Linked DNA regions of Daphnia pulex. The protein of the gene in region 1 interacts with the protein of each later gene in a biochemical or structural test. Links are inferred from orthologs where the notes say so. Each region holds a gene or a part of one and is shown in the gene's direction. Other genes may lie near its edges. The genes, in order: polyubiquitin, ubiquitin carboxyl-terminal hydrolase 48-like and epidermal growth factor receptor substrate 15-like 1.

Region 1 (3,600 bases):
GTCCAGAAACTGGAACAGAAAATGAAACGAATGCAGAGAGATTTGCACTACGACCTGATTGCCTTCACGCAAACTCAAATTTTGTACACCATTAAACGACTTTTAGCAGCTGATTTGAAGGTTATTTACCGGGGCCATGCTCTAGAATCTGAAACTCCAAATGAAGAAATGCCAAATGAGATTAACCCGTTCTGGCCAGAATTCCAAGCAGTCGCCCATCCAAGGAAAGGTGGGCTGCAAATGGCCGACTTTCTTGTTTACGGATGGTATGAAATTTTATCATTGTAAATAACAACTCAAAAATTATTATAAGAAAATTTCCGATTTTCTAGTTTGGAAGAACCCGATTTCACCCAAGATTATCTCAGCACACCATGGGCTTGTCCTATATGCGAACTCAATTTCTACCTGACGGGTCTAGGGCGATTGAGGCACCAGGTCCAGTGCCAGAAGACAAAAGAGTTGATGGAAGGAGGTATGAAATGTTTTTTAACAATCTGTTTGCTGCCCTCTATCCAGTTTACAATTTTCCGTTTTGTTGGGTTATTATTTAGGTCAGGGTGAACCAGCAGAAGCTTCCGAGTCGAAAACGGGTTATTTCTGTCCTGATTGTCGCACCACTGTGGAGCTGACCGGCATTGATTTACTGCGTCATCAAAGGAAGCACCAACAGGAAAAGTCCAACAAACCTGAGGCAGATTAGTCCTATACACGCAGAAAGAAGCCTTGCCCAAAGTCCTTCAAATTAAACACGTGGGACACGTCGACACCAGCACTCATTTCCGCTGCGCATTTTTGCGAACATCATCACATTATAATCCCCTTAAACTCAAGGTTGAATAAAGACCTATGTAAAACGACGCTGAATTGGAATTTATTTGCAATGAATTATAGTTTTATTCAGAGTCATGGAAGCGTAAATACATAACGGTTTTTATCTTGTTCGGTCTAATTAAGAAATTTCTCCTTATTAGTTGTTTTTTTCTTCGTCACTTTCTATTTGTATACAAGTTTTGCCAGCAACCTCATACGTGTTTCTACTTTCAAAATTCTGCCACGTGTAAATATTATCTCGTAAAGGTTCGCAACCTACTTGAAATGAAAATATTGGACCCAAAAAGTTTGGTGGAAAAGAAATAGAAAGTATGAGAAATAAAGGAATAAAGGATATCCGCGATTATTTCAAGGCTGAGGCAAATCCGTACAAAATTAACGTCACTTAGATAAAAATGTGGAAACTTCCAGAATTAGCTCAAATTTCATAATCACGGAATATTCTACGTCACATATTGTTTCTCTGTCGTTGTAGTCACGTTTGAGAAGGTGACGTTTCATCGTTACGTTATCTAACGACAAACGAAAATACGAAATAATCCTTCTAGAAAAAGCTAGGGAAAGCCGCAGGGGACTTGGTACGAACCTCCCCAGGCGCTTCTGTCGCGTCTATATAAGTCGACGTCAGCCATTTTAAAAATCAATTCGCGTCCAGCACCCAACTCGAGCAGAACGTCTTAGCAGTTGCTTCGTCGAACACATATTTTAATTCAACTTTATCATCTGATTGATCAAATTTAGTAAGTTAAACCTTTGATTTCTTTGTCCTGAATAGATATCCATTGTTCTTGTGTGTAACTAGTTAAATTAACTAAGATTTTTTGGGGGAAACGAAAAATTTACGCCGTGGCAAGTTGTCCCTTTGTTCGATTGTGTCCGCCATTTTCTTTCCTCGTTTCATCTCTTTTCTCTTAGTAACAACTGGTTGGAAAATATTTCATGGTGTAAGATGAGACAGTTATTGAAATTTACTAGAAACATTTTGTATTACATTAGTTTTGATTGCAACTTCTTTAAAAATAATTGGCTAGTAATAAAATTTATGCATGGGCGTAACTTTCCTTTGTTCGACGTGACGTAATGATGACGATTGGTTATGATGAAACTTCTGATAAACTGGTTTTGTATATGATACTAAAGTAAGTTTAATTTTCGTTTCTTCAGAAAAAGATGCAGATCTTTGTCAAGACATTGACTGGCAAGACCATCACCCTTGAGGTTGAGCCTTCTGATACTATCGAGAATGTTAAGGCCAAGATTCAAGATAAGGAGGGCATTCCACCAGATCAGCAGCGTTTGATCTTTGCTGGCAAGCAGCTGGAAGATGGTCGTACCCTGTCTGATTATAACATCCAGAAGGAATCTACCCTGCACTTGGTCCTCCGTCTGAGAGGAGGAATGCAAATCTTTGTCAAAACACTAACTGGAAAGACCATTACTCTGGAAGTTGAACCTTCTGATACCATCGAGAATGTCAAAGCAAAGATCCAGGATAAAGAAGGTAACTATCAAACCTTTGCCTACTGTTACTAAATTAACCTGATGAGTATTAGGATTACAATGACATTTAGAGTGTCTAAATTTCTTCATGATTACAATTATATCGCAATAACCTGAAGTATTCAATACATTTTAATTTCCATAGTTGTCTGATTGAAATTACAAAATGTTTCTTTGTTCAGGCATCCCACCCGATCAGCAACGTCTCATCTTCGCCGGCAAACAATTGGAGGATGGTCGTACTCTGTCCGACTACAACATTCAGAAGGAGTCAACATTACATTTGGTGTTACGTTTACGCGGAGGCATGCAGATTTTCGTTAAAACTCTTACTGGAAAGACCATCACTCTCGAAGTTGAACCTTCTGACACTATCGAGAACGTTAAAGCCAAGATTCAAGACAAAGAAGGTAATGGAAAAAAATAAGAAGAGAAATTTATTGTAGTTGCTGATGACACTCTTAGGACACCTAAATATGGACCCTGATTACTAAATAATCTGAAATTTAAATGTTAAATGATTTTGGTAGCATTAATCTACTAGATAATATTAACGATTTGAATTGTCTACAGGTATTCCCCCCGATCAGCAACGTCTAATTTTCGCTGGAAAGCAGCTCGAAGATGGCCGTACTTTGTCTGATTACAACATCCAAAAGGAGTCGACTCTTCACTTGGTTCTTCGTCTCCGTGGTGGTATGCAGATTTTCGTCAAGACTTTGACTGGCAAGACCATCACTCTTGAAGTTGAGCCTTCTGACACAATTGAAAATGTCAAGGCTAAAATTCAAGACAAAGAAGGTACGTTAGTTTTTGAAAGTTCGGTTGTTCTGCAATGATGATAATTTTATATACGCTAATATCAACAACATGATTACAATTAAATCTGATGTGGTATCGTGGTAAATGGCAGAATGTTTAGGTAGAAATTTCAATGTTATTGCTTTTTCTGTAGGTATTCCCCCAGACCAGCAACGTCTGATCTTCGCTGGTAAGCAGTTGGAAGATGGACGTACCTTGTCAGATTACAACATCCAGAAGGAGTCTACCCTTCACTTGGTCTTGCGTTTGAGAGGAGGTATGCAGATTTTCGTGAAGACTCTTACAGGAAAGACCATCACCCTTGAAGTGGAGCCATCGGATACAATTGAGAACGTTAAGGCCAAAATTCAAGACAAAGAAGGTAATAATTTGGGGCAGTCTTTATTTTTTATTCCATCGATTATGATGACACTTTATTAGCTCTTTAATATGTACCCTGATTAC
Region 2 (3,729 bases), on another chromosome or scaffold:
TTTGTTGCAGCCGTGTGCGAGAGCTGCCTGGAGAAGCGGTTGGAGGAGGAGCGCCGGTCGCAGCTGGTCTACAGCCGGGCAGCCATCTACGTCCGCCAAGTTGACAAAATCGGAGCCCTAACTGACAACCTCACCGACGCGCCATCGGCCTCGACCTTTTCGTCTTCCGTCGCCGAAGATCCCGACTTCCAGGTAACCCCGTTTTCTCCCACTCTTGCGTAACACTCGGTCCATCCATTTCCTAGTCGGAGGAATGTCATCGTTTACCCTATTTCCGCACCCCTTTTCAATCATGAATTGTCTGGAGGGGGTGGGGATCTAGCGGGATGATGGGCCGCCTGGATGGGAAACATTCGGCAGGAAGAGAATGGAGGTAATGGACTGGCCGGCGCTCTTGGAGGTCGTCGTAATCTTGTCCTAATCCTGCCGAATGGAATGTAAATCAGTCGCCGTGGAATGTCTCAGAGGAATTCGTCCTTAATGTTTCTGTTTGGGACCTCATCTTATCCACTTTTTCTGGTTCACGTTGCAGATGGGATCGGAGACGAAGAGACCACGACTAGACAGCACGGCCCAGGCCTTGGCCGTTTCTTGCCCAGTGCCGGCCCTGTCACCGGCCACGGTGGGCCAGCAGCAGCAGGCCAGGAGGAGCTCCCGCCAAAGACGAGGCCGCGGAGAGAAGGAGATCACCGTCTCGTCCGATCAGACCCTACTCGATCTCAAGCGTGACGTACGTCTCTGTGTGTGTGTGTGTCATCCGTCCGCGTTTATTTTCGTGACACTCTCCTCTCTCGGGCTGACTCATTTCTTCTTCTTCTTCTTCTTCTTCTTTCAGATTATGAAAAAGTTTCAAGTGGCGCCGTTCGACCAGCATTTGACGTGCGAAGGACGTGATTTGAACGACAACCAAGCGACGCTGGCCTCTTTGCGCATCTTCCCCGGCACCGTCATCATCCTTCAGGTAAGTCAAACAAGCTCCAGCCGTTTCTTCTTTTCCTTTGATTTGATCGAGATGGATCGACTGTCTGTGTGCCTTTTTCCTCCTTTTATTTCTTTTCTTTTTTTTCGTGAATTGTGTGTGACTCAACCAGTTGAGCACAATTGGTAAGGTCCAGAGTCAAGTCGGGCACAAGTGGTTGTCTAGCACGTTCGACAAAAACACGTTCTTTAGGGAAGGAAAAGAAAGAAGGAGGAAAGAAAAAACAGAAAAACAAAAATAACAATACACATTCTGTATTTCTCCCGTGAAAAAGAATCGAAAAAAAAGAGCGTTACACCGAGTTGGAAGGAGTCGGGAACACGAGGACATGATAGGGGTGTAACGCAACACAAAAAGAAAAGAAACAAAAAAGTTTCCCGCTGGTTGACGTTTGTTTGTTTGTTTGTTTGTTGGGTTTTTTTTTCTTTTCTTTTCGACCGGAGACAAACACACACAAAAGAAGTGGATGGAAAATAATCGCGGCCGAGAGAGGAAAGAAGAAATTGAAATCAACACGACCGTGTAGTAGTAGTGAGTAGTAGCACACACAAGTCAGGGGAGAAAACGAGGCCCTTTTTAGCCGTTTGGATTTAGTGTGTACGCTAATTCGAGCCGGGGAAACGGAAAGAACGTCCGACGAGAAGAGGGAAACGGTTGATTCGACTCGCGACATGATGGATGGATGCGGAGATAGTAGGTCACGTCGGCCAGAAAATGAGAAGGCGACACACACACACAAGGCGGCAACCCCCGCCGATGATGGGCGTCGACTCGGCTATCTCTCCTTCTTTCTTTTTTGACTTGAAATGGCTCAAGAATTCAGCCGCTCCCGCACGCAAGACATAGACGGGATCTGGAAAAAAAAAGAGACTTGGTGGCGGGATTCGTTAAGCGCGTCATTCGAAATCGTTGACGCAGCGGGAGAAGCGGGAGAAGGAGATAGGATCATTGAACTCGACCCCCCCATAGTAGTAGTAGTAGCTTATAGCAGTAGTAGCACACACGTAATTCAATTCTAATTGAATTTCTCGGGGCTTTTCTCCCCAAAAACTTTCTTTGTTGACGCTCGTTTGTGTCCCTACGTGTCCTTGAAGCTTCAACCCGAGAGAGTTGACGTTCTTCACGACACGGACAATTCAGAATGGTCCCGATTACTACCACTACTAACTTTGTTTATTTGACGGAAAGAAAATTTTTATGATTTTTCAATTTTGCTCGTTTTGATTCCTCGGTGCGTTTGTTGTAGCGTGTGTGGCGTCTCTAATGTCTCATTAATAACGAGGAATTGGATTGAGCTGGCCTTACATTGCCAGAGAGCGGCTCCTTGTATAGTCAAAAAAGAAAGAGTGAGTTTGTTTTGTGGTGCGCGGTGTAGTTGCGGTCATCGTCCATGCGTTCCACGTCTGGTTAGTCGGCGGGCAAGCGCCAGACTTTCATTTTCGTTTTTTTCTTTCTTTATCGTTTCCATGTACATTTATTTCTGATTCGTTTTTTTTTCTTCTTCTCATTTCGGCACGATTGATTGTCGTCGGTAACATGTGTAACATGGGCTACGACTTCCTTATATAGAGCCCGACAGGCAGAGACGGATGGAGTGTACCGGCCAGTTATTTTTTTCTTGTCCTTTTTTTATTTATTTTTGCTTTTTTTTTAGATTAGTTGGCTCTCAATCAAATGACACACAATGTTCTTGATTCCATCACGTTTCGCTTTGTTTGATCTCATTTCTTTTTTGGGGGTTTCAGGCGGATGAGCCGTCGGAAGATCCGTCCCTTATGGAAGACTATGCACGGACTGCCATTCCCGAAGAAGGATTCAAAGGTAATTCACCATTCATTTGTCTTTCGCATCGATTATTTGTGTTGACGATATTCGTTTCCACGCGCTCGCAGGAACCGAACTCCTCCGTAGCTGAATCGCATCCGGCGTCCAACCGTCAAGTGCCTAAAAAAATAAATAAACAAACACACACACAAAAATTTCAGCTGCTGCGACGTTTGTCTCTCTCTCTCATAACGGACGTCAGCATATTTTCTTTCTACTCTCTACTCTTGTTTGTTAAATTGTTATTATTAAACTGGCGCGTCAACTTTTTTTTTTGCAAAAGAACAAAAAAGTAAAAAAATTCAAATTAATAACTTACTGGGTAAAATTTAATTTGTTTCGTTTGATTGTAACTCTGTGCTCAAAGAAATAAAACTTGCAAAATTTAAAGAAAGAGAGACAGGTTATATCAGCTACACCCCCCGTACATTTTGATCGCCCCGCTGTCCCAATTTGTTCCTAATGATAAATCTTCCCTTTTTGTCCTCCGTATAAATGTCAACTGATTTATTTATATTTTATTACGTCACCTCTTCTATTTTTTTCTTTCGTTATGGCGCGTATTCTTCACACTCTACCAACAACTTTTTTTTCTTATCTAATTGGATCTCAGAAATTAACAAACAACAACAAAAAATGGGGTGTGTGTGTGTGGAGATCCTGGTAGAACACAAACAAAACAAAAAAAAATTACATACAAACTTGAACACACAACATTCTACTACAGTAATAGTAATACACAAAGAAATTCGAATGTAATTACTGTCTGAAAATTTGCCTAATTGTGTCGATTGTAATCTTTCTCGGAAGTTTACATTTTTTTCTTGTTATTTGCTACGATTATGAAAAAGGCTAAACGTTGCACGTAATAATAACGAAGGGGAGAGAGAAGACAATTATGCATATGGTAGGGGGGGGGAGCAGCT
Region 3 (3,829 bases), on another chromosome or scaffold:
GCGACAAATTGAAGAGCATGAAAAGCAGGTTAGAACACTTGATTTTGCAAGGCAATTTCTTCTGTTACTTGGTTCACTTACTGCTTGTACCCGATTATCTAATTTTTCAAACATTTCCCTAATCGAATTTCACTCATGACTAAGTAACTATTGACCTGCCTTTTAGGTTCGTACATTCCGGACCCAAGCAGAGGAGCAAGAGAACACGCTTCGAACACAGGAGGCAGAAGTTGCGGCTAAGAAACAGGAACTTAATAATTTACGCAGTGAAGAACTGCGCATGGAGCAACAGATGCAAGCGGCCAGCCTCCAACTCGACAAGCTCCAGAATACACTGCAAGATACTCACTTGCAAATTAGTCAAATTAAAGGTTTACTTGGCGGAAATCTTTTAATACTTTGTCCAGTAAAGTATAAAATTTTTGGTTTTGGTTTTTCAGCTCGCATGACGGTGTTGCAGGAACATCAACATCAGATTGACGAGGCCTTGGTGGCCTATGACGAAGCCTTAGAAACGGGAGATCCCTCTCGATTGGGCGATAACGTTCTTCGCCCTATTGCCTCAGTAGCTTCCGATTCCGATATCTTACTCTCGCCAAACTCTGACCGCAACAAAGTGAACGGGGGAACGTCGCATTTTAACGTAATTGAACTTTGGTTCAGTTTTGTCCAGTAAAGATCATAATATCTTTTTTTTTTTTATTCGAAATTTTTATAGGATGGAGCGTTCGGTAGTGATCCATTTTCTAGTCTGAATGGTCAGAATCGTGGGTTTTCTGACTCATCTAATGGGGACCCTTTCAAGGAATCGGACTTTTTCAAAAAGGCGGCGCAGCCAACTTCGTCTGTTGATCCTTTTGGCGCCAAAGACCCATTCGCCTCAGCCTTTGGAGCTCCTGCAAAACCAACGGTACGTGTTTCTATGAATCGTTAGAAAGTATTTGAATCCTGACTAGTTTGTAAAACGCGTAATGCATTTTGAATTTTTCAGAATGATCCATTCGCTTCCGCGTTTGGTCAAGCAAAAAGCGAACCATTTGACGCCTTCGGTCGTAGCAAATCGGTGAGTAATTAGAATCAGACTAATTGCGGCGGAACTCGAGCGCTAATTGATTATCAATTTTTGGTCATTGCAGCCAAACGTGGGTGCTGATCCGTTCGGTAGCGACCCATTTAACGCACCTAATTCTCCCTTACCTGCCGGTCGAGTGGAAAGCCCGACTCCGGCCTTGCCTCCCAAGAAGTCGAAACAACCACCTCCACGTCCAGCTCCACCGAAAGCTGTTTCTAGTGGTGTGAAAGGTCCCCAGCGCCCGGCTCCTCCCATCGGCGCCACAAAATCACCTGATCCTTTTGCACCATTGAGCGATCCGTTTACTTCGGCTGGTGCGTCTAAGGATCCTTTTGGTGGATCGGGTTTTGCTGATTTTGCAAGTTTTGAATCTAAGGTACGTCTCCGATTGATTTGATGTTTTTTTTTTTGTTTCGCAATTTTCTATGTGTAGTTTATTTTATTGGTAATCCAGAGAGCATGATTAACTTGTACTACGGTTGATTTTTCTTCGTTTCAACTGTGATTCATTTATACCATTCCTTCTTTATATATAAAGCTAAACTCCATTATTTTTATTTTACGTGACATGTGTACGTGTTTTCTCTTGTTCTAGAACAATCTTTTTTTAGTTAGGCGATTGGCAGCCTGCTGGGTCGTGATTTATTTTATTTCGTCTTCGTTTAGATTTGACTCGGTTCATTTGGGTTCTCGTTTCCGTTTCCCGTGTTCGATAAACATGTAAAAAAAAATCACAATTTGGAATTTGATTTCAGAATGATTCCAGTCCATCGGATCCGTAAAGTCAACTAAACTTTCTTGCCTTCTTCTTTCTTTTTCTGTTTTTTTTACGCAGCCATGAGTCAACTCTAAGGCATTTTCCACTGGTCTGAAATCTGACCTTTCGAGCGTTTAGAATTAATATTTTTACTGTCTTCTATACATCTACCTGATATTATTTTAGTTTAGTTTTGTATTTCGAAATTTTTCTGTTGTAATTTATTTTAAGTTTTTTTTTTCTGTTTTCCCTGCTTCCCTTCCCTGCTTTGGTTTGTGTTTAATTGCCTTAGTTTTCTGGCTCTTCAACTGGCGAGAGCTTTGATGCATGGGGAAGCACCAGCACTAGCAGCACAAAACCCACCAGCGAGTCACAACAGCACCGGTATGCCGAGCTAGAATTCACTGAAGATCCCTTCAAAGATGTCGGATTTGGCGATCCGTTTGCCTCAAACACAGACGATCCCTTCGCCGTTCCCACCATCACCAATAACGGAATAAAGATCAAGAAGGATCCGGACAGTTTTGATCCGTTTTCCGCAGACAAGGATCCGTTTGCCTCTTCCACATCTCCTTCTAAATCCACGATAGAATTCGACAGTCCGTTCGGTAGTTCGGCATGGAACGGGCGGCCAGATCCGTTCGCTGCTGCCACAGCTGCTGACAACAATAACAAGTCTCCCTCTAGTTGGGGCAACGATTTCAAGTTTTCCTCTCCCACCTCTAGTGGTCCCACTAAAAGTCCAACATCGATTGGCTCGAGCTCGTTAAAGAGCCGATCGTCTTCCTCATCGTCACCGATGAAAAGTAGCAAAGTGTCTGCATCTGAACCATTGCCCAAGTTGAGCGAAGACGCCCAAATCGCTTGGGTGGCTGCTGAGAGTGTCCGATCGGAGCAGGAAAGGCGAAGGAAAGCGGAGATGCAGGAAATAGCCGATCTGGAAATGGCGATCGCTCTCAGCAAATCTGAAATGAACAGTCGGTCACCACCGTCTTCAGACAGATTAATTTGACCCGTTTGAAAGCTGGCCACATCTCTTTCTTCTTCCTTTCTATTCCACCACACCCTGTTTTTCCTTCTTTATATGTAATCTACGTGACCTTCACAGTTTTTTCACGCTCCTGTTTACGGTACTTCCCTTGTTTTCAAAGGCTAAATATTCAAATGAGCTTTCCTTTGGCCTCTGATGTAACAAAATTCAAAAATTACCAAAAGAATCCAGCAATACTTTGACCGCAAAAGGTAATGCATTGACCTATGTACGAGAGTGAATGGTTAGCCGAAAAAATTTATTTCCTTTGGTGTTCAATCTCCTTTATTCCATCACCCCCTTATTGGTCATATCCCCAAACTATTTATAACGGCAACTGGAGGGCAAGACTGCTGTGTACATTTTACTCGCACTTTTGTATCCTTGCATGTTGCCTTTCTTAGACTTACTTCCCACAATAGTAATAAGGAAAAAAAAAGTGTCGCTCCAATCGCTGACGAATGGGAGAAAGGCGAGAAAGTAGTAGTCGGTGTGCAAAGTGTTGGTAGTTGTGACAACAGGAGTGTGCCATAGTTCGCCCGTCAGTCCCTCGGAAAAAAATTTTTCTTCTTTTGTTCTTACATCTTATCTCTTAATAGTACAATATGGTCCCATCCACCATCACCAAACAGATCTGTCTGAAGAATGAAGAAATAAAAAAGTGTTATTTCGATGCCGTAGTTGTTTTGCTCTTGGAACGTTATTTTTGCCGTAGCCTGATCTTTTTCTTTATTTCAACCTCTCCACTGCTACCCATTTCTCCCCGTTTTCTTTTTTTTTTCTTTTCTGTAATTTGATTGTTTCGGTATGATGCCCAGTGGCCACACGAGAGTTACTTTTTCCCACAAGTCAATTTTTTAAAAATGAAAGTAGCTCTAAGAGATGTACCAGTATGTTTGTTAGTTATCTCTTTTTCTTCTTTTTTTTTTTGTGAATGTCCTTGCGTGAACACGATTGTTAATTTGCCTCA

Evidence for each region.
Region 2: the proteins of polyubiquitin (region 1) and ubiquitin carboxyl-terminal hydrolase 48-like form a complex in vitro, tested with the Homo sapiens proteins (3 studies listed by BioGRID, with this or other methods). The link is inferred for Daphnia pulex from reciprocal best matches to the Homo sapiens genes UBC and USP48.
Region 3: the proteins of polyubiquitin (region 1) and epidermal growth factor receptor substrate 15-like 1 form a complex in vitro, tested with the Homo sapiens proteins (2 studies listed by BioGRID). The link is inferred for Daphnia pulex from reciprocal best matches to the Homo sapiens genes UBC and EPS15L1.

Annotation. Positions count from the first base shown.
Region 1 is NC_060024.1:13,920,105-13,923,704, forward strand, and holds the start of polyubiquitin, read left to right. Parts: upstream 1-1,266; 5' UTR 1,267-1,574; intron 1,575-1,998; 5' UTR 1,999-2,004; coding exon 2,005-2,335; intron 2,336-2,516; coding exon 2,517-2,744; intron 2,745-2,907; coding exon 2,908-3,135; intron 3,136-3,289; coding exon 3,290-3,517; intron 3,518-3,600.
Region 2 is NC_060018.1:12,831,219-12,834,947, reverse strand, and holds the end of ubiquitin carboxyl-terminal hydrolase 48-like, read left to right. Parts: intron 1-10; coding exon 11-192; intron 193-532; coding exon 533-730; intron 731-835; coding exon 836-961; intron 962-2,724; coding exon 2,725-2,800; intron 2,801-2,871; coding exon 2,872-2,894; 3' UTR 2,895-3,562; downstream 3,563-3,729.
Region 3 is NC_060021.1:11,549,392-11,553,220, reverse strand, and holds part of epidermal growth factor receptor substrate 15-like 1, read left to right. Parts: coding exon 1-28; intron 29-166; coding exon 167-371; intron 372-440; coding exon 441-643; intron 644-718; coding exon 719-910; intron 911-991; coding exon 992-1,063; intron 1,064-1,136; coding exon 1,137-1,448; intron 1,449-1,827; coding exon of another isoform or gene 1,828-1,854; exon of another isoform or gene 1,855-1,907; coding exon of another isoform or gene 1,908-1,913; exon of another isoform or gene 1,914-2,121; coding exon 2,122-2,841; 3' UTR 2,842-3,829.